Danio rerio: one gene and its partners. The main gene of each other region encodes a partner of the protein of the gene in region 3 in a complex. Links are inferred from orthologs where the notes say so. Each region holds a gene or a part of one and is shown on either strand. Other genes may lie near its edges.

Region 1 (6,990 bases), on a different chromosome or scaffold from region 3:
AGCAACAGGGCTGAGCACCACTGCTTTAGATCTATGTAGTGCATCAAAGGGTTAAAAGTCCCATGAAGTGCTTTGAAATGTGCATAGTGTAGCTCCTCCCCTTTCAAAAAAAGCAGCCAATAGCGTGTTGCTTTTATAAGAGCTCCGCCAGTGAGAGTGGCTGAGCTCAAACGCAACAAATGAACAGCCAATTAGAAGAAGGGGGCGGGGCATGTCAGAAAGATTTTAATCATGGTCTGAGGATTTGATGAGAAACTGAGGTATGAGCACACGACAAAAAATTCGTTGATTCCTTTAGGTGGGAGTGACAAACTGCAAATTTTACATGTTTATATCAGGTTTATATCTTCTACATGTGAGTTTGAGACACTAGCTCATAGATTTCCTTAAAACTACTGATGCTAACATCTAAAACACGTTATTTTATTTCATGTGACCCTCATCAGTAGCTCTCATTAGCTGAAGTGTGACAGAGACTCACTGAAAGACTCCGTTGTAGACCAGCAGCTGTGTGGCGAGCGTGGCGAGGATGGCGATGATCACTCCCAGTCCAAAACCACTGCGCGAGCGGTCAAACGTCCACCACAGGCCCACAGACAGAGCCGCTAGCGTCAGGGACAGCTGCACATTATTGGCAAAGTCCACCTTCTGTTGATGGCGGAGTTAAAGACAACACTTCACCCATCAGCAAGCTAACAATCCATCAGCACTTCACCCATCAGCACACTAATCACGCATAATCAGTTTGCAATATTGCATAATAAAATGCTTAAAGGGGTGGTCCACTATCAATACTCAGAAGAGTCAACTCTTCATTTATGCTGGGATCAGCTTTAGTGAGTAAACTCTGCGCTTCAGCAGTGGATCAGGATACAGCACTGGCGTGGTTGATGCCCACGAATACGGCAACGCAGCGCATCACATTGGACCACTCCCTCTTCAGCTTATGAGGCTCCCCGAGACGCCGGTCCATACAGGGGTACAGCAGACCAATCAGCGCTGGAGAAGAGAAGAAAAGAGGAGGAGCTCAGTGACACAAACACACACACACACACACACCCAAACAAAAACACATACAGACACAATTACACACACAAACACACACACACAAACAAAAACACATATAGACACAATTACACACACACACACACACACACACACAATTACACACACACCGAAACACACTAATATACAAATACACATAAACAAAAACACACACAAACAAACAAAAACATACACACTCAAACACACTCACACACAAACAAAACCACATACATAAACACACACACACACTCAAACAAAAAAGCACATACACACAAACAAAAGCACACACTCAAACACACTTACACACAAACACACGCTCAAACAAACACACACACACACAAACAAAAACACACACAGACACAATTACACACACAAACACACACAAAAAAACAATCACACAAACAAACACACACAAACAAAAACACATATAGACACAATTACAGACACAAACACACACACACACACACACACACACACACAAACAAAAACACATATAGACACAATTACACACACACACACACACACACACACACAATTACACACACACCGAAACACACTAATATACAAATACACATAAACAAAAACACACACAAACAAACAAAAACATATACACTCAAACACACTTACACACAAACACACACAATTACACGCTCAAACAAACACACACACACACAAACAAAAACACACACAGACACAATTACACACACAAACACACACAAAAAAACAATCACACAAACAAACACACACAAAGACACAATTACACACACACACACACAAACACACACACACACACACAGACAGACACAATTACACACACACCGAAACACACTAATATACAAATACACATAAACAAAAACACACACAAACAAACAAAAACATATACACTCAAACACACTCACACACAAACACACACACACACACACACACACACTCAAACAAAAAAGCACATACACACAAACAAAAGCACACACTCAAACACTTACACACAAACACACACAATTACACTCTCAAACAAACACACACGCACACAAAAAACACTCACACAAACAAACACACACAAACAAAAAAGCACATACACAAACAAAAACACACACACTCAAACACAAACAAAACCACATACACACAAACACACACAATTACACACTCAAACAAACACACAAACACACACACACTCACAAACAAAAACACACACAGACACAATTACACGTACAAACACACAGGCACACAAAAAAACTCACACAAACAAACACACACACTCAATCACACTCACAATCACACACAATTACACGCTCAAACAAACAAACAAACAAACGAACAACACACACACACACACACAAACAAAAAAACACACAAACAAAAAACAAACACTCACAAAAAACAAAAACATAAACAAACATACAAACAAACAAACAAAAACACACACCCAAACACACTCACAGACAAATAAATACACACAAACAAAAAAAGCACACACACACATAAACAAAAACACACAAACAAACAAACAAACAAACACACACACATAAATACATACATAACAATTACATGCTCAAACACACACAAAAAAAAAAAACACACACAAAGACACAAACAAACACGCACACACACAAAAAAAGCACACAGTCTACTCTCCGGTGAGCAGTGTAAGCAGCAGTACCTGCAGCCGTCCCGCAGCAGGGAGGAACCCACCAGGCGGAGGAGAAGATGCTGCTGATGACGTCTGGAGGGAAGAGCGTGACGTTCCTCTGCACCTGCAGCAGGTTCAGCACCAGCGCCAGAAACACTCCCACCGTGAAGAGCATGGCGGCGCGGATCAGCAGGTTCACACTGCGGCTGGTGATCATGCTGACGTACGGCCCGCGGCGCGACACTGACGAAACCTCCGACATCTCCTCACATGCCTACAGGACAGAAGGAGGACCAGCTCACCACACTTCTCCACAGTTCACATCAGGGCTCGCAAGAGGCCCGTTTCCACCGAGTGGTGCGGTTCGGTGCGCTTTTATGATCGATTCTGCTGTCAAAAGGTACCTAAAAGCGAACCGTACCATACCACTTTATTCAGTACGCCTACTAGTGTCCATCTCTCCATCTCATTAGCATAAACAGCAGCCCTGAGTGAGAAGCAGCCGTCTGTCCATTAGCCATTAGAGTGTTTGAGCTGCTGAAGATAACGTCAGCATAGACTAAGAGGATTATAGATGTGGAGCTTTAGATGAACAGCGACAGCAGCGACATAGACTGACAGAAGCATCAACACACACTCACACCTGACCAGCACTCACAACACACACACTGCTGTTTTACATCCGTCACTATGCTGACACGCAGGTGTTGGTAGCTCCGCCCTCTTCTGAAAAGAGCACAATCTCATTTGCATTTAAAGCGACAGTCACCAAAACGCCCCAATTAGGATTAAGGCCTGAAAGGGTCAGTTTCAGAGAGCTGGAGAACATTACCTGTGTGTTATTCTCAGCTCAAACACACACACTCTAGACACATTTACAGCTTGTAAAAAATGACATTATAGGTCCCCTTTAATTAAAAACATATAACATAACAGCAGCAGATCACTTTAGATAAAGCACACACACACACACACACACACACACACACACACACACACACACACACACACACACACGCCTGACAGGTTACTGCAGGTCAGTTGTTAGTTAAATAAATAAGTCTATCTGGTCGAGCAGCTCAAAGGCCACATCAGCATCAGGCCGATCAGCGTAAATAACAGTAAAATAAACACAGGCAGACAGTAACACACAGCACACTGACACAACACTAGCGGTCGAAGCTAATTATTATCCCTATATAACATACACAGCGGTGTAGCGCGACAACAGTAGCTTCCGACCCCCTGAGAGGTAAAACATTCATGAAGCTGAGATAAAATGCCTTATAAACGCTAAATGAAACAGGTGGTTCGTTAAGAATACACACATCTCTCACCTCTGCGTCGTTTGAAAGCAGCTCCGGCTTCTCTGAAATGAAATATTAAAGTCCTCAGCGAACGGACGGAGATCTTCTTGCGTGGATAATACTGCACTTCCGCCCTGCTGATACTAGCGCAGCCAATCAGAGCACGCGGTGGTGACGCAATGATTAAGCGCTAAAATGAAGCGCTAAATTTTTATTCCTCAAAATACTGAACACATTTTTTTTACTTGCACTTACTATTATGGTTAAATTAACAAAATGTGACTGATTTAAGCGGTCCTTTATTAGTATTAAAGAAGGTTTTTCTGATCAATAATGTACTTCTGCAAGCAAATACTTTTATTCACAATTATAAGTGTTTAAAGCTTGTAGGAATCACTGAATATATATTCAATAATGCCAGAAAAAGCTGGAATTTGTTAAAAATTATGTGAAAATGACAATTTAATAGTGTTTCACTTCCCTGAAACTGTTTTTACAGTCTGTGATTTATACTTAAGATTGATGGTATTATTATAGAAATACAAATCCTCTTTCTGTATTTGTTTATATTGTTGATTTCTTCTAGTTGTATACTATTTCTGAAACAAATAGGCCCATTCAAAACCTATATATATATATATATATATATATATATATATATATATATATATATATATAGGTTTTGAATACAAAATGGCATTCGACTTACAATTGTCTAATATCAATAGGGGGCCTATTTGTTTCAGAAATAGTATAAAACCTGGACAAAATAGGACAAAACCTGCAAAAACAATGAATAAATAAATATGCAAATATATAAAGAAATGAGTAAATATATCAATAAATTACTGCATAAATAACATAATAAATAAATAAAACAATAAATAAAATAATATGAAAATAAACAAATAAATGAATATAAATCTACAAATTACTGCACAAATAAAACAATAAATAAATACGCAAATAAATAAATAAACAAATAAATAAATACACAAATTCCTGCCTAAATAAAACAATAAATATGCAAATAAACAAATAAATGTACATTAAATTTACAAATTCCGGCAAAAAATAAAAAATAACTAAATATGCAAATAAATAAATAAACAAATAAATAAATAAATACACAAATTATTGCATACATAAAACAATAAATAAATAAATACACAAATAAACAATAAAATAAAAACACAAATTCCCGCATAAATCAAACAATAAATAAGTACATATGCAAATAAATAAACAAATAAATAAATAAATGAATATAAATCTACAAATTCCTGCGTAAATAAAACAATAAATAAATACGCAAATAAATAACCTGATATAAACAAATCCACAATTTCCTGCATAAATAAATACATAAATAATTAATAGTCCAGGAAGGTAAAAAATTAAATAAATTACAAGGGGAATAAGAAAATGCTAAACTGAGAGTTTTATTTTTTCAAAACAAAAGTTTGAAAGGGCAGACAATAAATTTTCAGTTTAGCATTTTCTTGTTTCCCCAATATTCGTGTAATTTATTTAATTATTTACCTGCCCACATTATTAATTAGTTATATATTGATTTATGCAGGAGTTTGTGGATTTTTATATCCATTTATTAATTTATTTGCACATTTATTATTTCATTTATGCAGGAATTTATGGATTTATTTACTCATTTATTTATATATTTCTATATTTATTTATTTTTGTATTGTTTTTGCAGGTTTCGTCGTCCATACGATTGATCTATCTCTTTATTGCTATATTGATGAGAGACTGCTACATAAAAAATATAAATAATTATCGTTAACTTCCTGCCGCAGCTGTATCTCTTCTAGCAACAGCCAAAGAAAACACAGTCGTGTAGTCTCGCGTTACTTGTGTCACAGCACATCATCTCACCTCCCATTTCCGCTCTAAATTTTCACATTCCCGCCATCATCGGAAGCTCGTGGGACTCGAGCGCAGAATCTCCATCATCACAGCCGGCAAAACTCACCCGCAGACATCAAACCTCGCCCGGAGCATACGCTGATCCTCCAGCGGCCCCTCCGAGGACTCTCCCACCCCCAGGTAAGCGCGCCGCGCCCCGCAGAGCCCACCGGGAGCCGCTTTTCTCCAGAATGAGCTATTCTCACGGCCCGGGATGCTAATGCTAGCTGATTAGCTGCGTGCGGAGGATGCTGGAGCGCGAATTCATCAGAAAACCGCAGAATAAAAAGTCAAACTCGGTGCTCAGACGCGGGAAGGTGTGTATGTTCGAGTGAGGGAGCGAGTGTGTGTTTGCGTGCGTGTGTGTACTGTGTGCGCGCCTTGAGGGAGAAGCTGCAGGGTCTGTCCAGGTAAAGCGCGCGATTGAGGTAAAGTTAATCTTATATTCGCACATTCAGACTTCCTCCGTAATATACTGATTTTGCACATTTTACATTGTGAAATCGTATTAGTAAGAAAAGTCAGAAAGTACAACATTTCTCACAGTTAATTAAATAGTGCTAATGCTGTCTTGAAGTCATGCAGATTGAATATTGTGGTAAACCTTATATGGACCGTGTCATGAGCTGTCACTGACCGAATGTGCGACTATAAAGCCAGCTTTACCTCAGTAAGCGCGAGGATAGTCCTCCTGACATGCTGTTTGTTTACTTCTAGTCTTGACTCGCTAGTTAACTTCTCCAAACACTTCATGGCGTGATAAACGAGCGCTGCTGTGCAGGTCAGTTGGCTTACTTCCAAACATCAGAGGTTAAGATCAACGAATTTCCAACGACCGTTAGCGGTGAGGGATTGTTGTTTGTTTGTGTCATTATATAATATAATTGAATTTATAATAAATGTTGTTTAGCGTAGATTATTTTAGCATGACGCTTGTTTTGTTCCGAGTTTAACAAACACTCATTCTTTAACGTTACACGCGCACGTTACTTTTACACGGTTTGTTTGTTTTTGTCATTAACGTAAAAGTATAGTAACGTAAATGTTGCTGTTAAACTCAGATTATTTTAGCATGACACTTTCGGT
Region 2 (6,973 bases), on a different chromosome or scaffold from region 3:
GATGGCGTTGTAGGTTAGTGTTTAACAGCAGATGGAACTCTATGCTAGTTTTTAACAGCAGATAGCGCCCTAGGCAAGTGTTTTAAAAAAGTAAAACATGCTCTAGGCTAGTTTTTAACTGCAGGTACCGTCTTATTTGATGTTCAAAACTAGCCTAGAGCGCCATGTGCACTAATAAAAACAGCCTAGAGAGCCATCTGCTGTTAGAAACTAGCCTAGAGCACCATCTGCTGTTAGAAACTAGCCTAGAGCAACATCTGCTCTATGGTGTTTTAGGCTATATTACACCAGCTAATGCTGTTGTAGGCTAGTGTTTAACAGCAGATGGCACTCAAAGCTAGTATTAATAAAGCAGATCGCGCTCTAGGCTAGTTTTTTTTAAAAGTAACACATGCTCTAGGCTCGTTTTTTACTGCAGACAGCACCCTGCTGATGTTCAAAACTAGCCTAGAGCTCCATCTGCTCTATTAAAACTAGCCTAGAGCACCATCTGCTGTTGTAAACTAGCCTAGAGCGGCATCTGCAGTTGTAAACTAGCTTAGAGCGCCATCTGCTGTTTTAAAACAGCCTAGAGCTCCATCTGCTCTATTAAAACTAGCCTAGAGCACCATCTGCTGTTGTAAACTAGCCTAGAGCACCATCTGCTGTTGTAAACTAGCCTAGAGCACCATCTGCAGTTGTAAACTAGCCTAGAGCGCCATCTGCTGTTTTAAAACAGCCTAGAGCGCCATCTGCTGTTTTAAAACAGCCTACAGCGCCATCTGCTGTTTTAAAACAGCCTAGAGCACCATCTGCTTTTATAAAATAGCCTAGTGCACCATCTACTGTTGTAAACTAGCCTAAAGCGCCATCTGCTGTTTTAAAACAGCCTAGAGCGCCATCTGCTGTTTTAAAACAGCCTAGAGCACCATCTGCTGTTTTAAAACAGCCTAGAGCACCATCTGCTTTTATAAAATAGCCTAGAGTGCCATCTGCTGCTGTAAACTAGCCTAGAGCGCCATCTACTGTTGTAAACTAGGCTCAGAATTAATTCAAGCGAAAAAAGCGACGCAATTCAAAAATCTCAGGATCAATGCAGAATGGATTTCTCGAACAATTTCTGGCCACAGATCTAAAAAATACACAACGTCCCTGATCTTAAATATCCCCGCTGGTTCAGTTGGAGTCTGTGTCGTCATTAATGTAGTCCTCCTCGATGAGCGTGACGCCGGGCTGCGTTCCCCACTCCTCCTCGTCATACTCAATACTGTCATTATCCTCCAGCAGCTCGTTCTCAGGCTCCGCCCCTGCCGCAGCCACGCCGTCCTCAGCTCCACCCTCATTCTCCTCAAACTCCGCCCTCTCCTGTCCTGCTGCCCCGTATCCGTTATTATTAGAGAAGGTGGAGCGCTCGCTGGTGTCGTCCTCGATGTAGACGCGCTGGTGGCACATGGGGCACGTGTCCTGGATGTACAGCCACTTGCGCAGGCAGAGCGCGTGGAAGTAATGGCTGCAGGGCGTGATGCGCGCCGACGAGCCGAACTCCTGATAGCAGATGGCGCAGACGTCCTCGATGTCCCGCAGCCGCGAGCCTCGCACCTCCGGCAGAGAGTTGATCTTCTTGACAGCCGTGCGCCGGTTAATGAACGTTTTCCAGCCGTTTTTGGCTTGCAGGTAAATGTTAAAATACGCATGAAGGCACATCATGCACGCGCGGATCTTACTCCCCGACTCAAACATCATCGTGTACGCCCCGTTTCCGAACATGATCACGCCGAATATGAACTCAATCACGTTGCCAGTAGAGCGCACGTAGTAGACGTAATCGTCCAGCTTCTCCCACAGCACATTGTAGAACCCGTCCATCATGAACAGCGCGTATACCGTGAGCGACACCAGAACCTTCAGACACAGCTCGATGCAGAACGCCGTGACGGCGAACAGCCACGTGTTGAGCGCGTAATGATGCCACAGCAGGAAACTGAGCAGGACCGGCAGCGTAAACAGAACTAGCGACACGAGCAGAACCGGCACATGTCTGCGCACTGACGACACGTGCGACGCGCTGAGAGACATGAGCACCGGATCCGTCATCCCGTGGATGAAATGCAGAATCGCCGTTAGCAGAAGGCACATGTTCCTGCTGAGCCGCACCAGCCGCTCCTCGGGGTCCAGGCCGCTTAGACCCGTCTGCAGCGCCAGGATGAAGAACAGCACGGGCGCAACAAACCCCAGCCGCTTATCCTCCTCCTCTGTGGAGCCGATGAACGCTAGGATGCTAAGACCCAAGTAATGCGCTAGAGATGATATGACTGCGCTCATCCCGAGGACAGTTAGCGTCGAGTCGCAGCCGCTAATGATCAGATTACTGGACAAATCCCACAACACGTCCCATCCGAGCTGCATGCCGCTTTCAGAGCGCACCACGCGCACCACGTACAGCAGGATGACGGCCTGCGCGGTCACGCGGGTTAGCCAGAACACGCGCAGGATGTCAGGGAAGCGGATGCGCTTCCAGGTGTCCTCCAGCAGCAGCTGCAGGCCGTAGATGCGGTACATGTGGCGCAGCAGCAGGTAGACGTAGCGGCAGGAGTAGTAGAACCACTTCAGCTTCAGCAGCAGGTTTAGCGCGGCGTGTGTTGCTAAGATCACTCCTGATGCTATCGCTAGCACCTGCTTCATGTCGGCCGGCAGCTCCAGTATCAGCCCCCACAGCGGCGCCATGATGTCCAGCAGCAGGAGAGCAGCGCACACCGACCGCACGCGCAGCAGCGCCACATAGCCCAACCCCAGCAGCAGCTGCATCAGCGCTAACGCTAGCCAGAGCGTCGGCCCGTCCCGCGGCAGCACTGCAGCACTGTTGTATGCGCTGTAGAAGTCGGCGTGTGCCGTGGCGTAGTAGTTGACCAGCACTGACGCCGCGCCCAGCAGAACAGCCATGAAGAGCGTGTAGAACTTGAACAGGGACTTCTGGGAAAGCACCAGAACCACACCGGACACCACAATACCTGCAGGACAGACAGCAGAACACTGAGAATCAGCACGGATACAGTAGAGCTGCACAATACATCATTCAGCATCCATAATCTGCACCATATATGCTCGATTCACATGGGCTTCAGCATCAACCCTTGACAGAGGGCGTGTCTGAAGTGTCTGACGCGATCGTCATAGCAGCGTCAGCCAATGAAATTAGTCAGCAATCAGCTACTGTGTGAGCTGGTGTATTTGCATTAGGGTTAGTAGTTTATTAGTCTTCAGTAGTTTATATTATTCTGTTTTTAATAGCAATTTAGTTATGCCAGAAAATATATCGTTTTGCAAAAAATGTCTGCGTTTAAGAACAGAATGAAGGACGCGTCACCTTAAATTTACTTTAGATTATCTTGTAAATAAATTGTATTATGAATCGTGAGTCGGGGGAATCGGTACATCTCTAGTTGTCTGAACATTTCAGATCATCTCTCGTCTTTGTGTATTAGTGTGTTGAGCTCTGATAGTGTTGATATGTTGTCTATATGTTGTCTGAATGTTTTAGTACACCTCTCGTCATCTGTGTATGTTAGTGTGTTGAGCAGTGTCAGTGTTGTTATGTTGTCTATATGCTGTGTATGTCTGGTCATCTGTGTGTGTTGAGTTGTGATATGTAGTTTGGATGTTGTGTATGTGTTGTCTGAATGAGCAGTGTCATTGTTGATATGTTGTGTATAGTATATATAATTGTGAGTGTGTGTGTGTAGTGGAGGGTCAGCTCTACAGCAGTGCATGAATCTGTCAGGTTTCCGTTTCCTCAACACGCGCGCGGCTCGAGCTGTCAGTCAGTCCGTCAGTCGGTGGTGTTTTGAGGCCCGGTGTTTTCAGCGCTATAAGCTGATAAGCAGAAAGCCTAAAAGAGCAGATTTAACACCGGTATGGAATCCCGCACTCACCCAGCGCGCGGATCAGGGCTCTCCCGGCGGCGCCGCTCCATCCGGTACCGGGATCAGAGTACGAGTTCAATATGGCGTCGATTATAAAGATGCTCGGGACCCGCAGAACCACATCCAGCACGGCAAGGAAGTGCTGACCCAGCCGCCCGTGAGCGGAGGCCATGGCGCTGATGCCGGTGTCCGGGAACCGCGGCTCTCGGTGTCAGGACTCGGTTCGATGTCAGGCAGGATCTCCACCGGTCGCCATTTTGGCTCTGCTGCTGTTGCTATGTGAGGAACGCGGAAGTGGCAGAGCGCATGCGCAGACTACAGAATACTACACTACAGCACCGGCGCCCGGCTTTAGTATTATTCAAAGCTTCTTTAAGAGTTAAAATGTCTCAGTTTGTAGTTCAGATAAATTGTGCTTTGTGTTTGTAATTATTGTTTGTACAATGACAAAAAACTATTTTAAAATATTTCAATTCAAGAAACTTCTTTTATTCCATACGTGTTTAATTAATATAATTCAGTTTAAAATACAATGCTTTAATATAAAGTATAGCTGCGTATGAATCCTCATGCTCTTAATAACCCTAATACAAACTTCTGTAGTGTAGAATCATCTGTTCTTCTGTAATGTTTTATTTTAAACGTGACCGTTCCAGTTATGTTAATGAGCAACTCATGAATATTAACTAACTGGTTTAATAATAAAGCAGTGGGCCTACATAGCCTGTAGTGCAGTGTCATTAATAGAATATTTCATCTTTAAATTGCATGTGTTTTTATTTTCATATTAATACGATTTACATTATTTTATTTGAAGAATATATGTGCCTTTATCTTCAATTTTAGTTATGCATTTATTAATTACAATTAGTAATATTAATACTTCAAATGAATGTAATATTTCAGTTTTATTTATACTTCATCTTCTTTTCTGTTAATAAACACATCATAGTTTGGGTGTATGATGATAATAAGCCACGACAGAACATGTGTGTGTTGTCATATTTTCTTTTATTGAGTGTGTGTGTGTGTGGGGTTATGGGAGAGTCCTACTGAAGATATGTCTATTGGTGTGTGTGTGTGTGTGTGTGATACACAGCCAGTGTTTCCTCATGAGCGGTTCTTGAAGAACAGTGTGTCGGTGTTGTTGAAGATGGTTTCAGCGAGATCCAGTGGATCCTCCTCCCTGACAGCGGCCATCACCTCCAGCACCTGTCTGAAACACACACACACACACACACACACGCACACGCACACGCACACACACAAGCATTTGAGTGTGCAGCTAAACATGCATGAACACAAACACTTCAGCAGGATTCTTGCTCATACAAACACACAGTCTTCAGCAGGACACACACACACACACACACTCTCTGTCTCTCACACACATGATGTGGCAGGGCTCGTTCCTGTCCTTCACACAGTGTCCCGTCTCCCACTTCTTCTTGGTGGGGAAGCTGGTCTTGATCAGTTTGGCTCCAGCGTGAGTGTTTTTAATGCCGCACCACGGAGCGTCTGCAGAGGAAATCAACACACACACACACACACTCACTCACTCACTCTGCCTCCAGACACTTATGTTATGCACATATTGGAATATCACATGGAATGATGCAGATAAACGAATAATGAGAGCCTCTGCACCTGTTTCGATCATCAGTCTGTCAGACGGGATGGACTTCATCACCTCCAGATTCTCTGCTGTCTTTAAGGAGCTGAAACACAGGAGGAAAACCCGCCAGTGATGAACAAACCCGGAGATGAAGATCCTTCAGAGACGCTGCACTCACCAGCCGTTAATACCAATGTAGAGATCCAGATCAAGAAGAGCCGCCGCGTCCTGCTGAGAGCCGTCGAACGAGTGCACCTGAAACACAAGAGGAAACACTGGGAAATCACTGAGAAAACATTGAGCAAACACTGAGGAAATACCAAGGAAACACTGAGGAAAACTAGAGGAAATACTGTGGAAACACTGAGGAAAAACTGAACAAACAATAGGCAAACACTGAGGAAACAATTAGAAAACAACAGGAAAACTTGAAGACAACTGAGGAAACAACAAGGAAACACTGGGAAATCACAGAGGAAACAATGAGGAAGCAATAAGTAAACACTAAGGAGAATACTGAGGAAATAGTAAGGAAGCAGCAAGGAAACAGAGAAAAACAAGAGATCATACTGAGGAAACTGCAAGGAAACACTGAGAAAACAGTGAAGAAACAACAAGGAAAAAATAAAAATACAGGGGAAACAACAAGAAAACACTGAGGAAATACTGAGGAAACAATCAAGAAACACTGGAGGAAACATTGAGGAAACACTGAAGAAATAAAGAGGAAACGACGAGGAACGAAAGAGGAAATATTGAGGAAACACTGAGAAAACACTGAGGAATCACTGAGGAATCAATGAAGAAATAAGGAGGAAACAACGAGGAAATATTGAGGAAACAATAAAAAGATAAGGATGAAATAATCAGGAAACAATGAGGAAACAATGAAGAAACATTGGAAAGTCATTGAGGAAACATTAAGAAAACATTAAGAAAACACTTAAGAAACGTTGAGAAAACATTGAGGAAACACTGAGGAAACAAGGAGGAAACAATCAGGAAACACTGAGGAAACAATGAAGAAATAATGAGGAAATATTGAGGAAACATTGAGGAAATAAGGAGGAAACAATCAGGAAAACTTGAGGAAACACTGAAACAAATGATGGAGCATGGAGAAAATGAAAAAAATAATGAGCAAAATCTGGAAAACAGTATGGGGAAATAACAAGGAAACACCCAGGAAACACAAGAAAACCTTTAGGATGAAAGAAATTAGGATTCACTAAAAAACAATAAGAACATTGAGGAAACAACAGAGGAACAGCGAAAACACAGAGGAATAATGAAGCACTGAGAATGAGGAACACATCACTCACCACTCCACCAACACACCGCTGTCTGTTCCTCCTCATGATGTCTGTGACACACACACACACACACACACACACACACACACACACACACACACACACACACACACACACACACACACACACACACGGTGAGTTTATTA
Region 3 (6,308 bases):
TTGTGTGTGTGTGCACGCCATGTTTAGCCTCTGACAGGTAGCGTGTGTGTGTGCCGCGCTTAGCCTCGGACAGCAGAGCACACACACATCTAACGCGATCTTAATGTGAGCGCTGTAATGGTGAAATACATGCACATTTGTGTCAGAGCGCGGTGTTTAGTGATTATTCATATTAACCCTCATTTGTGTAATAAACTAACAAGTTGAGAATCAAAAGACACGAGAAACCATATCAGAGCCGCACTATTCTTAAAGTGAGCGTGCGGTATTCCTGCTGCTGCCGACTGTTTATATTATTAATTAATAATAAAATTAAAAATACAGTGAAGATGCTTAAAGCACAGTTTAAACATAACAGATTTAATAACTCATTTCTAATAACTGATTTCTTTTATCTTTGCTATGATGACAGTACATTATATTTTACTAGATGTTTTTCAAGATACTAGTATTCAGCTTAAAGTGACATTCAAAGGCTTAATAAGGGTAAATAGACAAGTCATTGTATATCAGTAGTTTCTTCTGCAGACAATCAAACATATGTATTGCTTAAAGGGGCTAATTATATCGAGCTATTAAAATAGATTTCAAAATATTCAAACCTGCTTTTATTCTAGCTGAAACAAAACAAATAAGCCTTTCTCCAGGAGAAAAAAATATTATAGGAAATACTGTAAAGAAATCCCTCTGTTAAACATAATTTGGGAAATATTTATATATAAAAATAAATTCACTGGAGGATGAATATTTTTGACTTCAACTGATAATCGTTTTGAATAATCGTGATTACAATTATGACCAAAATAATCGTGATTATGATTTTTCCCATAATCGAGCAGTATATATATATTCATACCTAATATCCGATGGCCAGAAAGTGATTGATTAATTATTTATAAATTGTTAAAATATTGGTGACTGTGATGCAGCAAGTCCAGAGACTGATGTGTACACCATGATTTTATATAAAATTCACTTTAATGTGTGATGTGACTAAAAAGTGGTCATAAACAAATATTTTCTCCTTTTAAATGAGTAGCGGCTTGGACCTGGAAAGAGTATTTCAAACATCACGACTTAACAAGCGGATTTTTATTATAATCAGACAACGATTTTAACCTGGAGACACTTTAAGGGAAATATTTTTAAATGTGGATCCTTCAAAAATGGTAGAATTTAAAGTAAACCTTAAAAACATTTAATTTTCTTTTGTATTATTTATTGCTGTCGATGTCTTTATAATTTTTGTTTTATTGCAGAAAAGTGATATTTATAAAATGTACATTTTGCCATGAAATAGCCAGAGAAGCGGATATTGGCCGGCAGCTAGCTCTCTGCAACTCTCACATGGTCGCCCACTGAAGCTAGGTCAGTAGCCTGGTCAGTACCTGGAGACCACGTGGGAAAGCTAGGTTGTTGCCAGAAGTGGTGTTAGTTAGACCAGCAGTGGCGCTCAACCTGCAGTCTGTGTGGGTCCTAACGCATCACTATATCGATGGGGACTCTATACTGTCAGTGAGCACCGTCTTTCGGATGAGATGTTAAACCGAGGTTGTTAAAAATCCCAGGATGTCTTTTAAAAAAAGGAGTAGGGGTTTAACCCTGGCATCCTGGCCATATTTCCCACTGGCCACCTGACCGTCCCCATATCATAATTGGCTTCATCACTCTGTCTCCTGTCAACCAATAATCTGTTGTCTGGTGTGCTGTCTGGCGCAATATAACTGCTGTTGCATGATCCAGGTGGATGCTGCACAGTGGTGGTAGTTAAGGAGATTCCCCCAAAAATGTGTAAAGCGCTATATAAATGTGAGGTATAATAAAATAATAATATGGCAATAGAGTCAAAACTCTCTCTAACACATCGTTTTCTTTTGTATTTATTATGTATGATTCATTCAAGTTAATATATTAAAAACAAAGCAGCATTGTAAATATTATTAAGTTAAATGTTAACTTAATATGTTAACGAATGCAAAAAAAATAGTTTTTGATTCTGAAATAATTATATAATGCTAAAAAATTGAACTTTATTGAGAAGCACTAATGCTTGTCTAGTGTTAAATTAAAAACTTGACAGGTTTGTTACAGATTTCCCATAATATCCTGTGGCTGAATGAGAGTGATAAAATGTCCATAATACTTTAAATGTGTATCAAATACTCTTAAAAAAAGTGTTTGATTTAGTTTTTTTTATCAGTCAGCAGAAGAACAGGTAAATCTCTTCACACCATGAATGAAATTCTCCAGCTCTATTTACACTTGGGTTGTGTACATATTTGCACAGATCCCTGGATGCCCGGCGGTGCCCTCGCCCTGGCCGCACACGCAGACTCGATGGCCATCAGCTGACCCCCGCGCCCAGGATGACGGTGAGAGAGCGGCTTCGGCAGAACATCTCGGCCGCCTTCTACCGGCACGGCCTGCTATGCGCCTCATACCCGGTTCCCATCATTCTCTTCACCTCTGCCAGCATCCTGACCTGCTGGTGAGCCTGCACATATGCTTTTATTATTGATAAGTAGCAGTGAAGCACAATGTTTAATTTACCTGTGGTGGCAGGATGCAAGGACTATCCACACAAACATCGCTGTACTCACACACAGGCTGTAAATCTACTGTTAATCATTTACTTCACTATTTAAATAATAGTAGGATGACTCTATCATGGACAAAGTCATACCAGAGAGGGGGCAGGTGGTCCTCTGTCAGTCAGTAGTGTACACCTTTAAATAAAAATGACTAAAATTCTCTTTGATTGGCAGAATTTTAGCTACAAAATAAGCAGGAAAGCTATTCTATGTTTACAGTAAACTACTGTATTTCATTAAATTATAAAATGTTAATACTCCACCACCATGGTAATACATGACACTAATTAATGCAATAAATATTATTAATAACATTAGATTCAGTATCATACTCTAATGTACAAAACAAATAAGAAGAAAGAAATGCCAAACGATAAACTGAAGTGTCACTAAAGGAATTTTGGAAAGTAAATTTTTTGTGATTCATCATAAGGACACTGACTGTTATTCTGGTAACATATTTTTATTTAAGTAACAATTCCCACTATTAATGACTGGTGTATTACCTGCCTATGATTAGGATGTTGGCTATTATATAGTACTTATAAAATATGTTCTTATTCTACATCAATACCCTAAGGTACCTAACTAACTATTAATAAGCAGCACATTAGTATTTTATTGAGCTAAAAGTCTTTGTTAATGGTTTGTTAATAGCAAGAATTGAACCTTAAACTAAAGTGTGACACATATATTTAGCATCTGAAGCATTTTACAGTTTTTTTACCATTGAATCCATGGCTATTTTTTACAGTCTATAATGTTTTAAGGGTTAAATAACATCTACAACAGCTTCACAGGTATCACACACTGGACACAACATTTCACGTCAAGTTAGGGCTGCGTACCATTTAAAAGTTTTTGATATGATATTTTAAATTCGAAACTGTGCTGGGCTTTTGCATGAATGGACTTTCGTTTCTATGTATACATCGTATCCTCTCGCAGAAACAATTCACCTAGGCTGCCAGCATCTGTTTATTTATTTTAGTTCAGTTATTTTTTCCATAGATTTGCCATCCTACACATGCAATTCACTAACACTTATGTCATTTTATTCATTAAGGTATCGATACTTTGTACCGTCAGACAAGACATTCATAGATACTAGAATTGAGACAGTTTGGTTAGTGCTTAAAAATATCACCTTCGATACTCAGCCCTACTTCCGATCTAGCTTAAATTAGTTGATCTAAACAACAAACATGCAGAAGTTAAATTTAAGAGTTTAAGTCAACAAAGGGATGTTGATGAGTTTGCAGGTTAAAAAAATAAGATCAAAAACATCAGCTCTTATTCAAAACATACACACTTTTTCAAACCACAGGAAAATGAGCATTTGCAGGGTTGTCTGTGGGGTCTTAAATGTCTTGCATTTTAAAAACTAAAGGCCTTAAAAGGTCTTAAATTTACTGGAAAGCCGTGTTGTAAATTGTGTGGTCTTTAATCATTTTAAACGGGTCTTAATTTTCCTATGTCTTAGTAAAGTTACCTGATCGGGCTTACCAATAACCAATAATTCATCTTTAAAACATAAAACGTTAAAAAAAGTTAAATATTTACCTCTATTTACCAATAGTAAAAATTCTCTATGTGTTTTAGACACACTCTTGTGCATACGTTTTGTTTAATATAGTTTTGTAAATATTTCAACTAGATTTTGCTTGTTTTGACAAATATAAAACGTGATTAAGGTATAACTAAATTAAAATTTTGTTCGATGAGGCAAGTTCAAATCTTTTTCATTGGCCCCACCATGCCATTACAAACAATCCCTAGTGCTTAGCCCCATGTAAATCTGAAATTTACTTCATACTGGTCTTAAAAAATCTTAAGTTTGACTTGGTGAAACCTGCAGAAACCCTGTTTTCTAAAAGATGCACTAAACACAACCTTCCAGCCTTGTAGGCTTGTTAACAACTATTTAAGACAATTACAATTTAATTTAAGGTAAAGTGATGTGAGAAGCTCTCTGTGCACTGGCAGGATATTGAACTGTCTTCTGAATGTCCACATTTTAATCACATGGTGCACTGATTTTTTTTGTCTGCTGTGTGACCCTTCTGTCTCCTCCGCTATAAAATACCCAAATGCAATGATATGATGATGTCAGTGACAACCTGCAGTCATGGTGGGCAAGCTTTTGTTGTGGCATCCCACTATTGCAGAATGAATTTGAAGGAAATGCATGGAAGTGTTGTGCACAAGACCAAAAATCCACAGCTCTATCAATTTTTGAAGCACTGCGTGTTCTTTTGTGCTGCTGTGAAATCACCTATAAAATCTCGGGGTGGGATGTTTTGTGATGTTAAGACGTGTGAGGTGATGGAAAAGGAATTAATTTGTCTTGTGGTTGGTTGTTCTGCACAGTGTGTATCAAATGTAGGATCATGCCAAGAGGACTGTCTGTATCGCAAACACAAAACTGGTACTAAGAACAGGAGAAAATGTTTTTCTCATGCCTTTTCATTTGGCCTCTGTCAGCAAAATGTGAATTAAGACTCTGATGCTTCAGATAAAGGGCAATCCATGTGGAAAAGAGTGAGTGTGTGAACGCTTCTCTCGGTGTGTAGCCCAGTGTCTGGAGGAAAAGAAGTAGGCTTTTGTGATGGTGGAAACTACTTGTCAGTCCTTTTGGAGCTGGAAAACAGAAAGTGCAGATATGTGGAAAAGCTTGACTTGACACAAAAGGGTTAGTTCACCCAAAATTTTTAATTCTTTATTAATTACTCACCCTCATGTCATACAAATTGAGATATTCATTCATTTTCTCTTTAGCTTAGTCCCTTTATTAATCAGGGGTCGCCACAGTGGAATGAACCCCCAACTTATCCAGCATATGTTTTATGCAGCGGATGCCCTTCCAGCTGCAACCCATGACTGGGAAACATCCATACACACTCATTCACACACATACAATACAGACAATTCAGCTTATCCAATTCACCAATAGCTCTATCTTTGGACTAAGGAGCACCCAGAGAAAACTCACACAAACACGTGGAGAACATGCAAACTCCACACATAAATGCCAAGTGACTCAGCTGCGGCTCAAACCAGCGACCTTTTAGCTGTGAGGCAACAGCGCTACCCACTGTGCCATCTTGGCGCAAATTGAGATATTTTAGGTGAAATTGGAGAGCTGTCTTATCCTCCATGTTTCATGGTTTTTCTACGCACAAGTCCAGAAAGTAACCAAAAACAGCCTCAAAAACAGACCACATTGTCTTATGTGATTCAATCAGTATATTATCAAGCTACGAGACTATTTTGTGTGGTCATAAAGCAAAAATAATGATTTAAGAATATCAATGCATAAATCATTCATGCTCACCAGAATAGGAAAGTCCATTCAAATTACACGTAGAGTCCACCAACGTTCATTTCTTTTTAACATGCTTGCATTTGTTGCTTGCAATAGCTCTACTGTGCAGTCATCTAATGATGATAAAATTATGTTTCTAAAACAGGGGTGCCCAAACTCGGTCTTGGAAGGCTGGTGTGCTGCATATTTTAGTTACAACCCTAATTAAACACATCAAACTCAGCTAATCAAGCTCTTTCTAGCTATACTAGAAACTTCCAGGCAGGTATGGTAAAGCAAATTGGAGCTAAACTATGCAGTAAATCGGCCCTTCAGGACCAAGTTTGGGCACCCCTGCTCTAAAAGAATAATATAAAAAATAGTCACAGTTAATAACATAATACTGTCTATAA

Evidence for each region.
Region 1: the proteins of scap (region 3) and insig2 are in contact, whole or in part, in a cryo-EM structure (PDB 7ETW), measured with the Homo sapiens proteins. The link is inferred for Danio rerio from reciprocal best matches to the Homo sapiens genes SCAP and INSIG2. Residues at the interface, in NP_036367.2 of Homo sapiens: Pro200, Ser206, Val282, Ala283, Glu284, Ile286, Pro287, Thr290, Ile294, Ala297, Tyr298, Phe301, Lys305, Tyr351, Val354, Val355, Glu359, Thr409, Leu410, Val411, Ser638, Tyr639; in NP_001308258.1 of Homo sapiens: Phe41, Val45, Leu48, Leu49, Ile51, Val55, Leu57, Phe58, Pro59, Val62, Ser65, Ile66, Glu104, Trp105, Ser106, Met109, Arg110, Val112, Ala113, Val114, Val116, Gly117, His120, Gln132.
Region 2: scap (region 3) and rnf139 share a complex: the UniProt entries of both Homo sapiens proteins name them as parts of the SCAP-SREBP complex. The link is inferred for Danio rerio from reciprocal best matches to the Homo sapiens genes SCAP and RNF139.

The regions. Positions count from the first base shown.
Region 1 is NC_133184.1:726,482-733,471, reverse strand, and holds the start of insig2 (insulin-induced gene 2 protein), read right to left. Parts: upstream 4,076-6,990; 5' UTR 4,009-4,075; intron 2,946-4,008; 5' UTR 2,934-2,945; coding exon 2,702-2,933; intron 1,000-2,701; coding exon 875-999; intron 649-874; coding exon 482-648; intron 1-481. UniProt on the Homo sapiens protein: Oxysterol-binding protein that mediates feedback control of cholesterol synthesis by controlling both endoplasmic reticulum to Golgi transport of SCAP and degradation of HMGCR.
Region 2 is NC_133194.1:330,823-337,795, reverse strand, and holds the start of rnf139 (E3 ubiquitin-protein ligase RNF139), read right to left. Parts: upstream 4,152-6,973; 5' UTR 4,072-4,151; coding exon 3,909-4,071; intron 2,988-3,908; coding exon 1,156-2,987; 3' UTR 1,021-1,155; exon of another isoform or gene 1-1,020. Other genes in the region: deoxyribonuclease TATDN1, read right to left, coding at 5,010-5,115, 5,291-5,417, 5,547-5,617, 5,693-5,769, 6,837-6,877. UniProt on the Homo sapiens protein: E3-ubiquitin ligase; acts as a negative regulator of cell proliferation through mechanisms involving G2/M arrest and cell death.
Region 3 is NC_133191.1:45,483,705-45,490,012, forward strand, and holds part of scap (sterol regulatory element-binding protein cleavage-activating protein), read left to right. Parts: intron 1-2,287; coding exon 2,288-2,488; intron 2,489-6,308. UniProt on the Homo sapiens protein: Escort protein required for cholesterol as well as lipid homeostasis.